Struthio camelus: one gene and its partner. The protein of the gene in region 2 interacts with the protein of the main gene of each other region in a biochemical or structural test. Links are inferred from orthologs where the notes say so. Each region holds a gene or a part of one and is shown on either strand. Other genes may lie near its edges.

The links.
Region 1: the proteins of LZTR1 (region 2) and KRAS form a complex in vitro, tested with the Homo sapiens proteins (2 studies listed by BioGRID, with this or other methods). The link is inferred for Struthio camelus from reciprocal best matches to the Homo sapiens genes LZTR1 and KRAS.

What each region holds. Positions count from the first base shown.
Region 1 is NC_090942.1:76,287,808-76,295,305, reverse strand, and holds the start of KRAS (GTPase KRas), read left to right. Parts: upstream 1-4,448; 5' UTR 4,449-4,628; intron 4,629-5,875; 5' UTR 5,876-5,887; coding exon 5,888-5,998; intron 5,999-7,498. UniProt on the Homo sapiens protein: Ras proteins bind GDP/GTP and possess intrinsic GTPase activity. Plays an important role in the regulation of cell proliferation.
Region 2 is NC_090965.1:3,047,730-3,055,407, forward strand, and holds the start of LZTR1 (leucine-zipper-like transcriptional regulator 1), read left to right. Parts: upstream 1-4,626; 5' UTR 4,627-4,664; coding exon 4,665-4,840; intron 4,841-4,922; coding exon 4,923-4,985; intron 4,986-5,077; coding exon 5,078-5,134; intron 5,135-5,471; coding exon 5,472-5,551; intron 5,552-5,936; coding exon 5,937-6,045; intron 6,046-6,902; coding exon 6,903-6,986; intron 6,987-7,678. Other genes in the region: IPO9 (importin-9), read left to right, coding at 43-153. UniProt on the Homo sapiens protein: Substrate-specific adapter of a BCR (BTB-CUL3-RBX1) E3 ubiquitin-protein ligase complex that mediates ubiquitination of Ras (K-Ras/KRAS, N-Ras/NRAS and H-Ras/HRAS).

The sequences.
Region 1 (7,498 bases), on a different chromosome or scaffold from region 2:
CCCCATTTTTAGCAGAGAAACATATTCAAAATAAAAAGTCAGAGACAGCTGAATTAAACCAAAAGTCAAACCATTTATGAATACCGGTAACATGCTGTATCTTAACGCATTACTTTCAAGCCAAATCTACTGTTATTGAAGAAAAATATATTAAGCCTGGTTCCTTGGAGTCTACATGGAAAAAAAAAAAAAAGATTTGAATGGCCTTGCACTAGTCTCCTGTTTAAGCTGTGTAGAGGGCAGCTTAGCTGCCATTCAAGCTAAAGGAGTAGAACCTTGTTTTGTACTTTATATGGCTAAGCATTTGAAAGTAATTTTCAGTTTAAGGCCTGTGGATTTCTTGGGGTCCATTACCTAATTTTAAAAGGAATTGCAGACAGCAACAAGGAAAAAAATGTTCACATAAGGTGTGCGTCTATGTATGCTATGTTCATATGCCATGTGAGTCCGTATATGCTAGACTTCAATCTGTAAATGTAAAATTACTAAAGAGAGCCATACCACCAAAGGAAATTTGATGGAAGACCAAAATTAAACACACATGAAAAGTATTGCTTTGATTTTAACATAAAATAACATTTAAAATTACATTTATCAATCTATCTATCAATGGATACAAATGTTCCTGTATTTAAGTTCATTGTATTCTTCCCAACATGGAGTTCATTACCATCTCTCTCTTCTAGACCCTGCCTTGACTAGAGTTAGTGAATTAAAAGTCTGGGGAATAAGGCTGTGTTCTGCTGTGTCAATAGACACAAATTGGTAAGGGCATTTACACTGCTCTAGGTAAGACTTTAAAAAAAAAAAAAAAAATTCTTCTGTAGGTTGCCTTATCAAGGATAGGGCAGCATAGCTAAGTCTGTAGGACTTCCTTAAAAGTCTAAAAATTGTCTTGGGAGGAGATAAGGAAAAGGTAGTGACTGAAGGCTAATATATTCCAAATGCCATGGATCCCATGCTGTTCATGGGTGACATATGGGACCTTGTACTAGAGCAAAATATAAACTCACACAGTTGGGTCAAAGGTGTTCAAAAAACGTCATGTAAACACTTTGTATTTGCAGGCTTTATGCTGAATCTGGCATAAAATGTTGTATTGCTAGCCTAAAAGCATGAAACCACCCTTAGCCCCAGTATTGTGGTTTCTGGCTAAATGAACTGAAATATAATCACGTGCTTGTGCTGACCGGGACCAAATGTATAAACGGTGGTTATTCGACAAAGCATACCTGACAACAGGTAGCAATGGCTGCAGACCCTTGGCCTCTCTGTGTGTGACAGAAAAATTCTCTTATGCTAATATTTTAAATTAATGGCATGCAATCTTTAAACTGTACAAACCCACTTCTCCCCCTGTAGTGATTCTCCATTGCCTTTGCATCTGCTTTGCATGTAGTTAAATGCCAGCAAAAGCACCAGGAAAATTAACTTCTGTCTCAGCTTGTTAACAGAGATAGTCAGACAGGGAAATCTTATTGTTTATCTTGAGGCTGGAGCTGTGTATCACTTTTCCACCACCACCCCGGATTCCTGGCAGTCAGGTGGTAAATGCTCATATATTCTGAAATTTAAAATGTCTTTGACTTTATTGTATAAAGTATAGGACTAGATAAGTCTGAGTAGGGTGAATATGTGGCTGATGGGATTATACCTGCATTTGGGTCTAGTGCTTGATATCATAAGGGAAGCATCTTGTCAGAATAAGGAGCTCTGACCAGCGATTTGTCCTGAGAGCCTTCGAAGATCAGTATCCATGAAGGACCAGATAATCCAGACGGGAATATTTTAATGCAAATGTGAAGAGGCCTTTGAATTTATGAATATGCTTTAACTTAATAAAAGTATTTAGCTCTAGTACCCTGAAGTGTTTTGGGATTTGAGTAAGTGTGTCTGTTTTGCTTATGTTCTGCATTCTCTGTGCAAATTGCCCTGTAGAAACAATCACTAAAATGAAGTGGGTAACACATAGGAGACACTAGCAAAATCTAGGAGGTTTTGCATCACTTGCGCTGACTTTTCAAGGGCTTTCATATCAATGCAGTGTATAGGTTGGTACTTTATATATTTCAATCAGCTCTTTTATTTCTGCTTCTTTTCAAACCACTTTACCCAGCAGGTATCTCTTCTAAGAGAAATTTAGTTAAGACAAACAGCAAGTTCATAATAACAGACATTTAGAAACAAATCTGCATTCAACAAAAAAACAAGCTTTGCATTCAACTTTTTCCAGCTTCCCAACAATTCATTTCCCCCTCAAACTCTTTGCAGAATGATAGTTTTTGTATTTCACTGAGATAGTACAAAACATGGAAATTCAAGCTGTAATCAAGACCTGAAGTTTTCACAGAGAAGGATCCACCCAAGTCTCTCTGGATACTTTTCTGATTCCAACTGTGACTGTGTGGGTTTAAGGATGAACAGCTTCTACCCATACAAAGCTCTGTAGATCAGAGCAAACCATTGAAGTTGTTTGTGCAACACCAGTACTAAGTGCAGAACTGGGCAAGCTTTCCTGTTACACAGGCATTTTCCCATTGCCTTATGATGAACCACAACACTTCAAGTAGTTTTCCTAAGGGGGTATAACACAAAAGTGAGATCCTGCTATCCTAAAACAGCTGATCAAGGCATTTACCTCGGTTGCTGAACATCCGCATTCAAATCCTTTCTTTGCCTGTTTCACACCACAGATTGGAATGTGGGTTTCCCACATCCCAAGCTTGTGGTTTTACCACCCGGCTACTCGTTCTTTGAAAGTGGGGCTTTCTTCTGGTTTTGGCAACTGCTCATGTGAGATTGCTTATGAAGTGAGCTATCTGTATCATTCAGCTTTAATTCTGATTTGTGAGATGATTTTGCATGCTACACTTATGTGCCTTTTTGTGACTTTGTTTCTCATCAGCCTTAATAAAAAAATCTAGTAAGAGCATTTAACACAAAAAGGACCAGGTCACTAACACTCAAATCACTGGGAGAGGATAAAAGCTTTCCAAATTCTTTTTTTTTTTTTTTTTTGCATTTCATGACAATATATAGCCTCCTGTTGCATATAAGAATCCTTACACAAGCTCCAAGCTCCCATAGCAGTCCGTAGGACTTGTGTCACTGATTTCAGTGACAGAAAAGACTGGCTTCAAGAATACAAGGAAAAGAGCTCCTCTGATCTTTCCTAGGCTCTGTTTGAAGAGATATTTTCACACAGCTGCTCAAAAACATGTTTGTTTTCCACCCGGGTCTTCATACCTGAGCATCAGGGAGTAGCATTGAACAGCAACACAGGGTCTTTGGCTTATTTGCATGAATTAATCACAGGAACACAGCTTTTAAATTAGATGGCATTGTCCCAAAGGGTTAATGCCTTACATGCTCAGATGGATGCTGCCCAAAAGCGCAGTGCCTTGGATGCACACTGAGAATGAAAGAAGCTGCAAGTTCTGTCACACACAATTATGGAGAACAAAGCTCCAGCCTTTGAAATTAAAACTCTTGAACACCAGATGTGTAGACACAATATATTTATTTTTGACTTTCCAATTTAAGAGGGAAAACAGAACTGGCCAAACTAATCCCTGGTGTAATCCAGTCGACATCACTGGAGTTACCCTAGGAATAAGCTTGGATTCTTAGACCTGATGACATAAATATTTCAAAAAATTTCATAGCACTTATGACCATATAACACAAGCTTAGAAATGACCTATGCAGTATACCCAATTAGAGGGAACTGAGTTTTTGGCCTTTTAATGAGAAAGTAGGCTTTGCGGTACAATTGTTACCTTGCCTCTAATAGTACGCTGATTAACTGTTGTGCAGAGCACCCAGGCAATTAATAAAAGCCTTTTGTTTAATTGTGAAAATTATTAACCTTAATACCGAAATTATTAAAACTGCAATGGGCATTTAAGTTTTACGGTAATTCTGCATTTCTGCTTTTGTGACCTTTTCTTGACCCGTAAGGATAAACCCTATTCTTCTTGTTTACACAGGGAGCCTCTCACGCTCCACCTTGCCAAACAGCCAGCGCAGCCTCCTGACTAGGAACCGGTATAAAGCCTTACGGGGGCACTAAAGCCCCTCTTCCTACGCCCCGAGCGATGCGGCAGCGGGTGCCTTTGGGCTGAGGGCAGGGCCGCGGCCGTTGGGACGGCTGGGGAGGCGGCCCGGGCCGCCGCTGCCTGCCCGGCAGGCTGACGGTCCGCGTGCCCCCGCCGCGAGGAAGCAGCAAACACTGAAATTACGCTTATTTCCCTCCCCTACGCGGCGCCTCCCCCCTCCTCCGTCGCCGCCGCCGCGCGAGTGACCGTTGCCACCCGCGCGAGTGACCGTTGCCGCACCCCTCCCTCCCTGCCTCCCCGCCCCGCCTGAGTCAGTGGGCGGGGAGCTCCCCTTCCCCTTCTCCTCCCTCGGCTGCCGCAGGGGCGGGGGAGCGCCGAGCGCGTCGATCGCATCCATCCACCCACTCGGCGCTCGGCTCCCTCGGCAGCTCCCAGCCCCAGCCCTCCCCGTCCCCCGCCATTTCAGACCGGGACGGAGAGGGACGCGGAGCGGTCCGCCGCGGCGGGGCGGGCAGGGGCACGGGCACGGGCACACCGGCGTGCTCCCGCGGCCCGCACAGCGCCAGGCAGGTACCGCCTATCCCCCTCCTTTCACCGCCTTAGCCGCCCCGCTCGCTGCTTCCTCCCCCTCCCCCCCCCGCTTTCCCCCAAGGTGGGGCAGGGGGAAGTCGGCGGCGGTTTACCGGAGCCGGGCACCCCCTCCCCCGCCCCCCACGGCCGGAGATGCTCGCCCCGGCGCGACCCCCTCCCCCAGCGCCGCCCACCTCTGCGAGGGCAGAGCCGGGCGGGGGCCGCCGCGCCGCCTCCCCGCGCGTGTCCCGCCGCCGCCGCCGCGGGGGCTGCGCCCTGCGCCGCTTCCTTCCCCCGCCGGCATCGCCGCCGCCCCGCGTCCCCCCCCCCCCCACCTCCGGCAGCCCGCGCCTCCCCCGCGCCGCTTCCCTTCCCCGCGGTGCGGGAGGAGGGGGCGGCGGGACAGGTGGCCAACGCCCTCCGGGAGCCCCGGCACCGGCTGCCTCTGCTCAGTCAACCGCCGCCCGCGAAACCCCTCCCTCTTTCCTACTCGTTTCCTTCCCCCCACTCAAAATCCTGAAAATCCCGTGCGCCGGCGGCGCGGAAAGTTTTGGCCGCCTCGGCCGCGTCGCCTCGCTCCGAGAGGGGAACCGTGGTGGGGCGGCCCCCAGGCGGGCAGGAGGGCGGCGGGCGGCCCCTGCTGGCCCGGCCCGGCCCGACCCGGCCCCGGTGGGGGGACGCGTCCGCGGAGGGCAGCTCGTCAGGTGAGCCCGCCCGGCCCGGCCTTTAAAGTACTCGTGTTCCCGTCTTTGGGGTGGCCGCGGGGACAGATCGGCAGGGGTGCTCAGTGCTGGTCGGTTCCGATTTAAAAAAAATTTAAAAAAAAAAAAAATCAGGGAAGTCTGCCAGAATTCGTGGAACTTCAGAAGGGAAACCGAGCAGAAAATGAAGCCTTTATTCTACAGAAAATACTCTTTAACCACTTTTCAGAAATTAATGTAACTTTATAGGTTTTTTTTTTTTTAGGCAGCTTTTTGTAATCGCTGCCTTTCAGCTTCATGTATGCGCCACAGTTATTAAGAATTTTTTTTTTTTTTGAAAAGTAGCATCCCCTCTTAGCCTTTGAGTGTGTGTGTGCACATGTGGCTTTTTGTTTGTTTTTCTGATTTTTTTTTTTTTTTGGAAGAGGGAGAATTTGCTTCCCTGCAATAGTAAAGGAATACGATAGTGAATGAAAATGCAGTAACAGCATTCTCTTTTGTTGGAGCTTGACCCTTTCTGCTTAATGTTGGTTTCTTTGTCATCAGGTCTGCTAAAAAATGACAGAATATAAGCTTGTTGTCGTTGGAGCTGGTGGTGTAGGCAAGAGCGCCTTGACGATACAGCTAATTCAAAATCACTTTGTGGATGAATATGACCCTACAATAGAGGTAAACAGCTCCATCCTACACTCTTTATGATGAGAAATTATCAGTAAATAATGGTGATTGACGACCTTTAGACAATTACCCCAAAAACATCATAGGAAAAAGCTTTATATGGAAAAAGTCTCAGACATAAAGTCTGAGACATTAGAGAGCAAACTAGAGTACAGAGCTAATATTAGAGAGCAAATCAGAGTACTTTTGGATCTGGCAGTGGAACAAAAGCTGCAGTAAATACTTAACAATATTGATCAGTTAAAATGTGGTGTTAGTTGCCATATCTTATTGGGCAGTTTGAATACATGTTTTTATGATTTTAGTAACAATGTTATTCGTCAAACTTGCTTAAAAATGCCTGTCAAAACTGATTTTGCATGCAACCTACAAATGTCTTAAATGTGACTCTCCTTTTTGATCTCAAGTAGGAGAAGCTGTAGTCCTGAAATGTACCTGTCAAGCTTTCTCAGCTCTTATCATTAGGATCTGTTTCACAGGGTGAGAAATGTGTTCTGGAATGCTATGGTGAATGAGACAAAATCTGGAGCCTGGCTTTTTTTTTTTTTTTTTATTTTAACATGCCAGTAGGTGTTGCTGTATATCTAGAAAAATGTTATAAGGTAGCTGCTGTAGTGGATTCTTTGAAATACATGATGCAGTTCTTCAAAACTTGAAACTATATTTAAGCTTCAAAAGTTATGCTGTTTAAAAGCTTTTTTTATGAGCAGGCAAGCTTTGCCTTCTAAATACAAGAAAAATACTAGTGTTGTCCGAAGTCTCCTGTGGATCATTGGATTTAATAACCTCAGACTCTGTATAAAAGGAGAAATGACACTATAATTTACCCAAGATTTTTATGTTCCCAGTACTGAAGCTCTGTAGCTTATGACTTCATTTATATGTTTATACAATGAGGTGCTTCCAAGCTCACTTGAAGGAATCACAGAGGTTTAAATCTAGGCTTAAATGGTGACTCAGGGAATGGCTATGCAGCCTTTTTCAGGTAGACATAAGTGAAAGGAGTCTATGCTCTGAAATGGTAGGAAGCTGTGTTATTTCAGTGAAGTAAAGACCTGAGTTAACATGCCCCTGTGAGAGCTACCTTTGCTTGAGTTTGGGATTACCTTCATGGGGCTGTGTCTTCTTGTCTGCTTGCTGAATGGCCAGATAATATCATGTATGCTGGTAGAAGACTCTGTGAACAGAGCCTTAGAGAGAGGGGGAGTGTTTAACTTGTACTAGAAGAGCAGCTCTTTTGTTAATTAAGATATGTGAGATTTTAAAAACAACAATCCAGAACACACTTAAATCACGTTCTGTCTTTCCCTCTCAGTGAGTTTTCCTCACTCTTGTAAAAGGAGCTTTGGGGGATGCTGGCTTTTGTAATATCTATTCTTAATCATCTGGGCAGGTTTCGGTTAGATGAGAGGTGTATTTACACTTTACAATAAGTACTATGGATATTCTATGTTAAAAGTTGTCACATGATGCTAGAGTTGTGTAAATGAC
Region 2 (7,678 bases):
AAGTGAAGCAATGCTAACTTGATCTTTTTGTCTTCTTTTTAGGCCTATCTCACTGACTTCCTGTGTCAGTTTGCACAGCAGCCGTGCTATGCAATGTTTTCAGACCATCTCAATGAGAATGAAAAGCGAGTGTTACAGGCCATTGGTATATAAACCCAATCAAGAGACCATACTGATCATATCTGAACAATATTTTTCTGGCTTATTCCACGTTTTATGATTAAACATGAAACATTTTCCAGTGTCCACCTGCTTGTTACAGGTGGATGATGGGCCTCATTGCGAAGTATTGAGCCTCATCTTATCATGAATCTGCTAAGGGAAGGAATACTAAGCAAGCAGCAAAGACGGAAGTCTGTAGAGCTTTGCACATTAATCTCACCAAGGGAGCACTTTCATTTTCCACAGTAATGTTCCAGGAAGTTCTTAAAAGAATGTGTCCTTAAATATTTTTAAAAGCAAACTGTCTCTGCCTGTCAAGAGGCACTTAAACTGAATTTCACACAGCACAGATGGACAGAGAAAGGAATCAGGTCACTTACAAATTGCTTGGATGTGTCTTGAAATTGGAAGGTTGTTCCTCTTTGTGCTCACATAACACATACAGGGTAAATATCTGGATCTTACAGTGTGACTTCTTTTTATAGAACTATAGACTCTTTTATCAGAGATGCCTGAATGGTATGGAACCTGTTTACAGGAGTTTGGATGGGAAGCTGAGACAATAAAAATAACTGCATATCTTCTTTCCTAGTGTGGATGGAGCTTTGTTGCTCACATCTACTCTCTAGTCCCATGGGAGCAGTTCTTTACTAATGCTTTTGTGTGCACATGCTTAAAGGAAGCTACCACTTAATTTCTGTTCCTGTGGCATGTGGCTACTAAAGACTTTGGTTTTATGGAACACAAGGAGCCACAATTTTTAGGGGGAAAATCTGATTATATTTAATGCATTTGCTCCATAACAGCCACTCTGATCTACTTTGCTTCCTTCACACTCCTGTGTGTATTTTTATAGAGTGGTAAAATAACATTTACAAATTGATTTACCCATAAGAACAGCGTGATGTATCTCACAACACCTCTCTGCCTTTGGTTCCCCCTTGGGGAAAATTAAAATAAAACTATTAAAATATACATTGGTATCCTTCTTATAAGACAGAGTTGAAAGGAAATTGCACTTGTTTCCCGAAATTGCTTTTTAAGACATATTTCTCCTTAGGAGATCTCCTATATGTGCCACCTGGAGGTTGTTAGGGTATTTCACAGGAGTCATCTGGACAGAAAGGGAGTCCTGTAATGGTTACATCATCTTCTGCTTAAAAGAAAGAGTGATCCATTATAGAGTTTCCTTTCTTAAGAAAGGTACTTGCTGTTCCTTTGTGGAATAAAATGCTTTGAAGTTGTATTTAAAAGCTTCCAAAGAGCTGGAATATGTATGCATCTTACTGGTCTAATTTACCGTATGGCTTTTCACTTTTCTTACCAGCAGGGGGTGATGAATTACTTTTTTTAAATGAACAAAGATGGCACAACACAATTTGTTTAGCATATGTGGGATAATGGTAAAATAACACTAAATTCTAAAGCTGACATTGCTTCCCCTCTCATGCCTAAAGCCCTCATGTTGTGCCTAAGAACAAGCAGAAATAGAGGGAATCCCACACGTCTTGCTACATGCCTGTAGATTGATCTGTCCCATCTTTGATTTCTCAGTAGTTTTCTATGAATAACTCCATGGCAAGTAGAATTTATGAAGCCTGATTTTATTTTTTGTGGCTTTGGATTAGTCTGTGTCTAATTCTAAAGGTATGAGCTCTGGAAAGTTTCCATGCAGTTGAGTCTCAATTTTTCTTCCCTGTCGGTTCTCTGGTGTATAAAACTAATTCAATTTTGTGCCATGGCCTTCCCTTCAGTGTGCGCTCTGCTGTGGCTCTGTCTCCTCTCTAGTCTCCCCCTCCCCGCCAAGTCTTCTAGGAATTTTGTTCGAGGTACGTGTGTCTCATAGCTTTCATTGAAATGGGCTGACAAGTTAAACTAAGCAGTGCAGTCTCATGAGGAAACTGAGAAATAGATGGCTGCAGTGCCTGATAGCTGTACAAAAGGATCAACTGAGTGACCAGTCCCAGCTGAGAGAAGAGACAGGACCATGTTTGCTAGCTGACATTCCTCCCCTGAATATCGGAATGGGCCTGTACTGCATGAAAACAGTTTGTAAGTCAATGGAACAGAAGAGTGAAGACCAAATCTAAATTTTCATTGCAAGTTACAAAATTAAGAAGGGCTATCAAATACTTTACCCCAGGAACTGACAGCAGAACTTGAAAATAGTCATTCATTGTTTGAGGTAAGTGGATACCTAACACTTGAAAGCACCTGGATGTGCTTTAGGCATCGGTAAGAAATGGACCACATACTTGTCTGGCTCGTTAGGGCTTTGTGGAGAGGGGCTGGTAGGGTTCATGTGCTTTCAGTTGGAAGTTGACTCGTGTGCCTTAACTGTACTTGCTTTATGCACCCTTAAGGTGCATCAAGTTGGATGACGAGTTTAAGCAAAAACATGAAAAATGGGTGCAGCTTAGCACCATTCCTCATCCTGAGTTGTATCTAAGGATTTCTTTGGATTTGCAGGGTCCCGTGAGTAAGTGATGGGCAGTTTCTTACAGAGTTCCTATCGGAGCTCTTCAGTGCATTGGTTAGAAGCTGCTCTTTGATTTGCAGGTATCAAGGGCTTGCTCTTTCCAGGAGTGCAACCAGTGAGATGGGAAGGAGTGGGGGGGGGAAATGGTGGCTCTTTGGGAACTAGTGCTCTGCACTGTCCTTCCTGTTGCATTTGGTTCATGTGCACCCACCTGGGCCCCTTCCAGCAGAATGAGCTGACCAAGTGCAGTGCCACTATGCAAGAGTGCTGATTTAAAATTCAGTTTGGGAGCAGCCTTTGAGATGATCCTGGGCCTGTCTGCGTGTTGTGGGTCAAGGGGAACAGGAACAGCCTAGTTTGTCTACAGCGGGTGCTCCACTGCAAGCAAACTCACAGCGTGCAGGACGCTTTCAGGCAAGAAATATACTGACTTGAGCTTCCCATAGGAGAGAGGCTGAATAAAGGATGAGAGCTACAGTGCATGATGGAGATGGTTGAAAGAGCCTTAAGTGGTCCCATGGGTGCCTGTACTGATGTTACTCCTTTGCCTTCTGCTTTCCCTGTGTTCTCTTCCTCCCTTTAAAAATTCTCAGAATGTGACACTATATATCTTTAAACAAGTGATGACTGGAGGGTCATCGGCTTTGCTGAAATAAATCTGAGCCAGTAGCGTGAGGTAATTGCTCAGGATGAAATACGGTGAAATGTCTGGAAAGCTGTCTAAGGTCTAGTGTTGAGATGTGGAATGCCCATTTTACTTGTGTACTGTGAAAAGAAACTAAACTAACCCTCACTAAAGGTTACTAACTCCATGTTATGAAAACCAAGCTCCCTTTTATACTTAGTTAAAAAGAAGGATGGGACTGAGGCTACTACTGGACATCCATGAGCCTTTGCCACTTCCGAAATCAGTGCCTGGCACTTTTGCATCCTTGTCAAAGCTCCTCGCGGAGGAGATGCCAATTGTGTTTTTGCACACTGGGTTTTATCTTGCTAGAATAGCATGAAGGTCCGATAGCCACAGAATATAATTTAAATAGTGACTCAATCAGCTGTGACTCTGGATGGAGACTTTACGCCTATTCATGAGTATTGTTCTTGGTATTTTTTTGTATTAATAAAATCTTTTAATGTATAAGCGTGCCTTGCCTCCGAGTCTTACAGAGATTGGTAACGAGGAGGGAGAGCACCCTCAGCTGCGCCAATCTGGCATCCCGGGCCGGGCCAGGCCTGACGCCCTGCTTCGAAGGGTGTTTTGCCTCTTTGGGGTTTGACTCTTGCAGCGCACAGAGCTGGTTAAGGTGTTTTAGGCCCTTGTTCTCCAAAGCTGGGCCAGCAGCTGGGCACTGTGACTGCGCCGCCTGTGCGTGCGGCCACCTCGCATGAATCCCGCCTGCGGCGTGGGGTTGCTATAGGGCACCAGAGCAGGCCTGGGTGGCCTTCTGGCCCCTGTGGAGCCCAGGCTGCTGGACTGAATGAGGAAAATGACTTTCGGGACCCCTTGAGAAGCTGGCAAGGTGCGTGCGGCTCCTTCCCTGCCGTGCCAGGAGCAGGCTGGAGCGCTGCGGGTCCACCCACCTGCCCACCCTTGGTCCTGCGGGCGTGGGACTTGAACCCGCCGCTACGTGCTGCCTAGGTGCGCCCCCCGCCCCGGAGCGGGGCACGCCGGGAGCTGTAGTCCCGCGGCGGAGGGAACGGCCGTGCCAGGCGCTGTAGCCGCGGGGCGGGCGGTAGAGCCAAGCCGGGCGCTGTAGTCGCGGGGCACGCCGGGAGCTGTAGTCCCGCGGCGGGAGGACGAGCCAAGCCGGGCGCTGTAGTCGCGGGGCACGCCGGGAGCTGTAGTCCCGCGGCGGGAGGACGAGCCAAGCCGGGCGCTGTAGTCGCGGGGCACGCCGGGAGCTGTAGTCCCGCGGCGGGAGGACGAGCCAAGCCGGGCGCTGTAGTCGCGGGGCACGCCGGGAGCTGTAGTCCCGCGGCGGGCGGGCTCGCCGGTTGGTGCGCGGCGGCGGGGCTGGCGCGGGCCATGGCGGCGGCCGGGGCGCCGTCGGGCGGCGCGGGGCGCTCCAAGGTGGCGCCGAGCGTGGACTTCGACCACAGCTGCTCGGACAGCGTCGAGTACCTCACCCTCAACTTCGGGCCCTTCGAGACGGTGCACCGGTGGCGCCGCCTCCCGCCCTGCGACGAGTTCGTGGGGGCCCGGTGAGCGGCGGCGGCGGCGGCGGCGGCGGGGGGTGGTGGTGGGTCCCGGCGGCTCCTGACCGCCGCTCTCTGCCGCCCGCAGGCGCAGCAAGCACACCGTGGTGGCCTACCGGGACGCCATCTACGTCTTCGGCGGCGACAACGGGTAAGGCCGCGGCGGGGCCGAGGGGAGCGGGGCCGCCGGGGCCGCCGCGCCGCCCCCCCCCCCCTCAGCCGCCTCTCCCGTCCCTCCCGCAGGAAGACGATGCTGAACGACCTGCTGCGCTTCGACGTGAAGGACTGCTCCTGGTGCAGGTGGGCCGCGCTGCGCCCCGGCCCTCTGCCGCCCCGCGCGGCTGCGAGACGCCTCGTCCCCCCGCGGCGCCGTTATGCTGGGTGTAACGGCTGGGGGCTCTGCACAGCCCCTCGCGGAGGGCGAGCCCCCCGGCCCCAGCATGCAGCTTTTATTTACCACTCTTAGTCTAGCACCAGATCTTAGGTCACGTAGTTAAACCAAAAAGAGTGAAAATGCCCCCTCGCGACCGGTAGAATAACTCTTAACGCCTGTTTCCGCGTTGAACCCGCACAGCAGCTTTGAATGCCCGAAGCGCGACAGTGTTGTTTGATTGCCACTGTTCTAACTGTTGCACAGGGCTTTTACCACGGGGACGCCGCCAGCACCGCGATACCACCATTCGGCTGTGGTCTATGGGAGCAGCATGTTTGTGTTTGGTAAGACAGCGGCAGGTTACAGCTGCGTGCCCTTGGGACGATAGATGTGTCTGTCCTCTCTTAAAACAGAGCAAGGTGTTTCCTACAGAGCGTCAAGAGGATCTCATTCAATAGGAAAGCTGGTGTTTTTCGTGGTTGACTGTGATTTGGACCTTAGCTTTGAAATAGCTTTACTCTTTTGTCTAAGGTAAAGAAAACTTGAAGCTCAGTGCCGTAGCATTTCTTTAGGGATAGAAGTAAGGTTGGAGGACAAGCCTCCCATGTTTAGCGTTCCAGCAGTCAAATAACTTTTGTTTGAGTGACGTAAACTTAAATTTCTTCTAATATATTGACTACAAGTATATATGCTCTCTTGAAATAGTCTAATAAAATTGTTATTGCCCAGGTGGCTATACTGGAGACATTTATTCCAATTCCAACTTGAAGAATAAAAACGATCTTTTTGAATATAAATTTGCAACTGGACAATGGACAGAGTGGAAGACTGAAGGCAGGTAAGGAGCTGGCATCATTGCCCCGCTCTTCAAGGGGACTTGGGTGTTACTCAGCAAGTACTTACAGTAGCACATAGTTACAAATAGTTACACTGTTAGTATTAAAGTGCTAGGACTGTGCACAGTCCTTTACATTGATTGTAAAGAATCAATAAGAACATTTAAAAATTCAGCACATTTAAAAGCTGTGCTTTTCCCCGCAGCTGCAGGTCTGCATACTGCATAAATGACCACTACCTTCTCAAACAAGCTAACGTTATGTCTCCTGGACTTGTGGCGTCACAGTTTTGTACAGCACTTCTTGATTGATTTGGTAAAAACAACACAAATTAGGGAGAAGAAATCATAGGATTGATTTTTTATTGTGGCACTGTATCTCATGAATGCTATGACTAAACGATCCCAAAAATATATTGTGAGCTCTGACCCTGATCTCATTTATGCATTCCACCTTCTTAGTAGGTGAAAATACACGTAGGATTATTTTATCGCATGTAAATTGCCACTTCGCCATAATGACAATGATATTGTCCTCTACAATTTAGCCAGCTTTCAAAAAATACTTAAGAACGTTTGAAGATTGGCAAGGAATTCATTGGATTTTTTTTGGTTTTTTGAGATAATTTTTTCTCATGAAGGAAGCAGAGTGTAAAGTTCTGCAGCCCTGGACAAGGGCTTCTTCTTGTGTGCTTTGACAGTGTATGACAGTAGCAATTTCCTAGCTTGAAGGCATTTAATATAGGGAGCTTTTATTCTTGTGAAATGTGTGTTTTAGCTATGATGCAGATCCTTATAGCACCTTTCCTGGTCAGTTAAGATTTTTTTTTTTAATTATTTTTAAATCTCCTCAATTGCAGATTGCCAGTTGCGAGGTCAGCTCATGGTGCAACAGTGTATAGCGACAAGCTGTGGATCTTTGCAGGATATGATGGCAATGCGCGGTAAGTAACGGCATCACTCTCTCCTTGGTCCCTTTTGTAACATCCCAGTCACTCACTTTTCACTTCCGTAGAGATGTTTTCCTATTCCAAGTGTTTTAAACACATAACTAGAGCTTTGCGAAGCCTAGCTTATTGATGAGCATTGTAGACCTTTGCAATTCACTGGCTCATGTTCACATAAGTATACATTAAAAAGCTGGTGACTCGGAATGTTTGAGGATGCATAAACTGATCACCTGCTTGATTGCGAGGATGCTAAGTGATCTTTGGATTTGGCAAGTGAGCATTTTCCAATATGCCACAGGCCTTCTGATGTTGCTACAAGCTTTGAGGAAAAAAGCAGGGTTTTTCTGTGAAGTCCTATGATGGAACTGAAAACAATATGCCAGCTTTTCCTCTGAAAACATGTGGCACTTCTGGTGGGATATTGCACTGAGATGACAGACTTGTTTGCTTCTAAGGCAGATGAGATTTTGGATAAGAAAAGACTGGAAGTGAGTGGTGCTGAGAAGTTAGGGAGAATTCTGGTGCTTTGTTCCAGATGGCAAGTTCTTCACTGTTGCTATCAGTCCCTTGGGGAAGAATCAGTTCTGCACAGGCATTTTTTTTTTTCTATCTTGGTGAAGATGAGAAGTTTCTTATGATCATGCACAGTATTTGCATCAGCAAAGCATACAGAAATCAGCATGAAC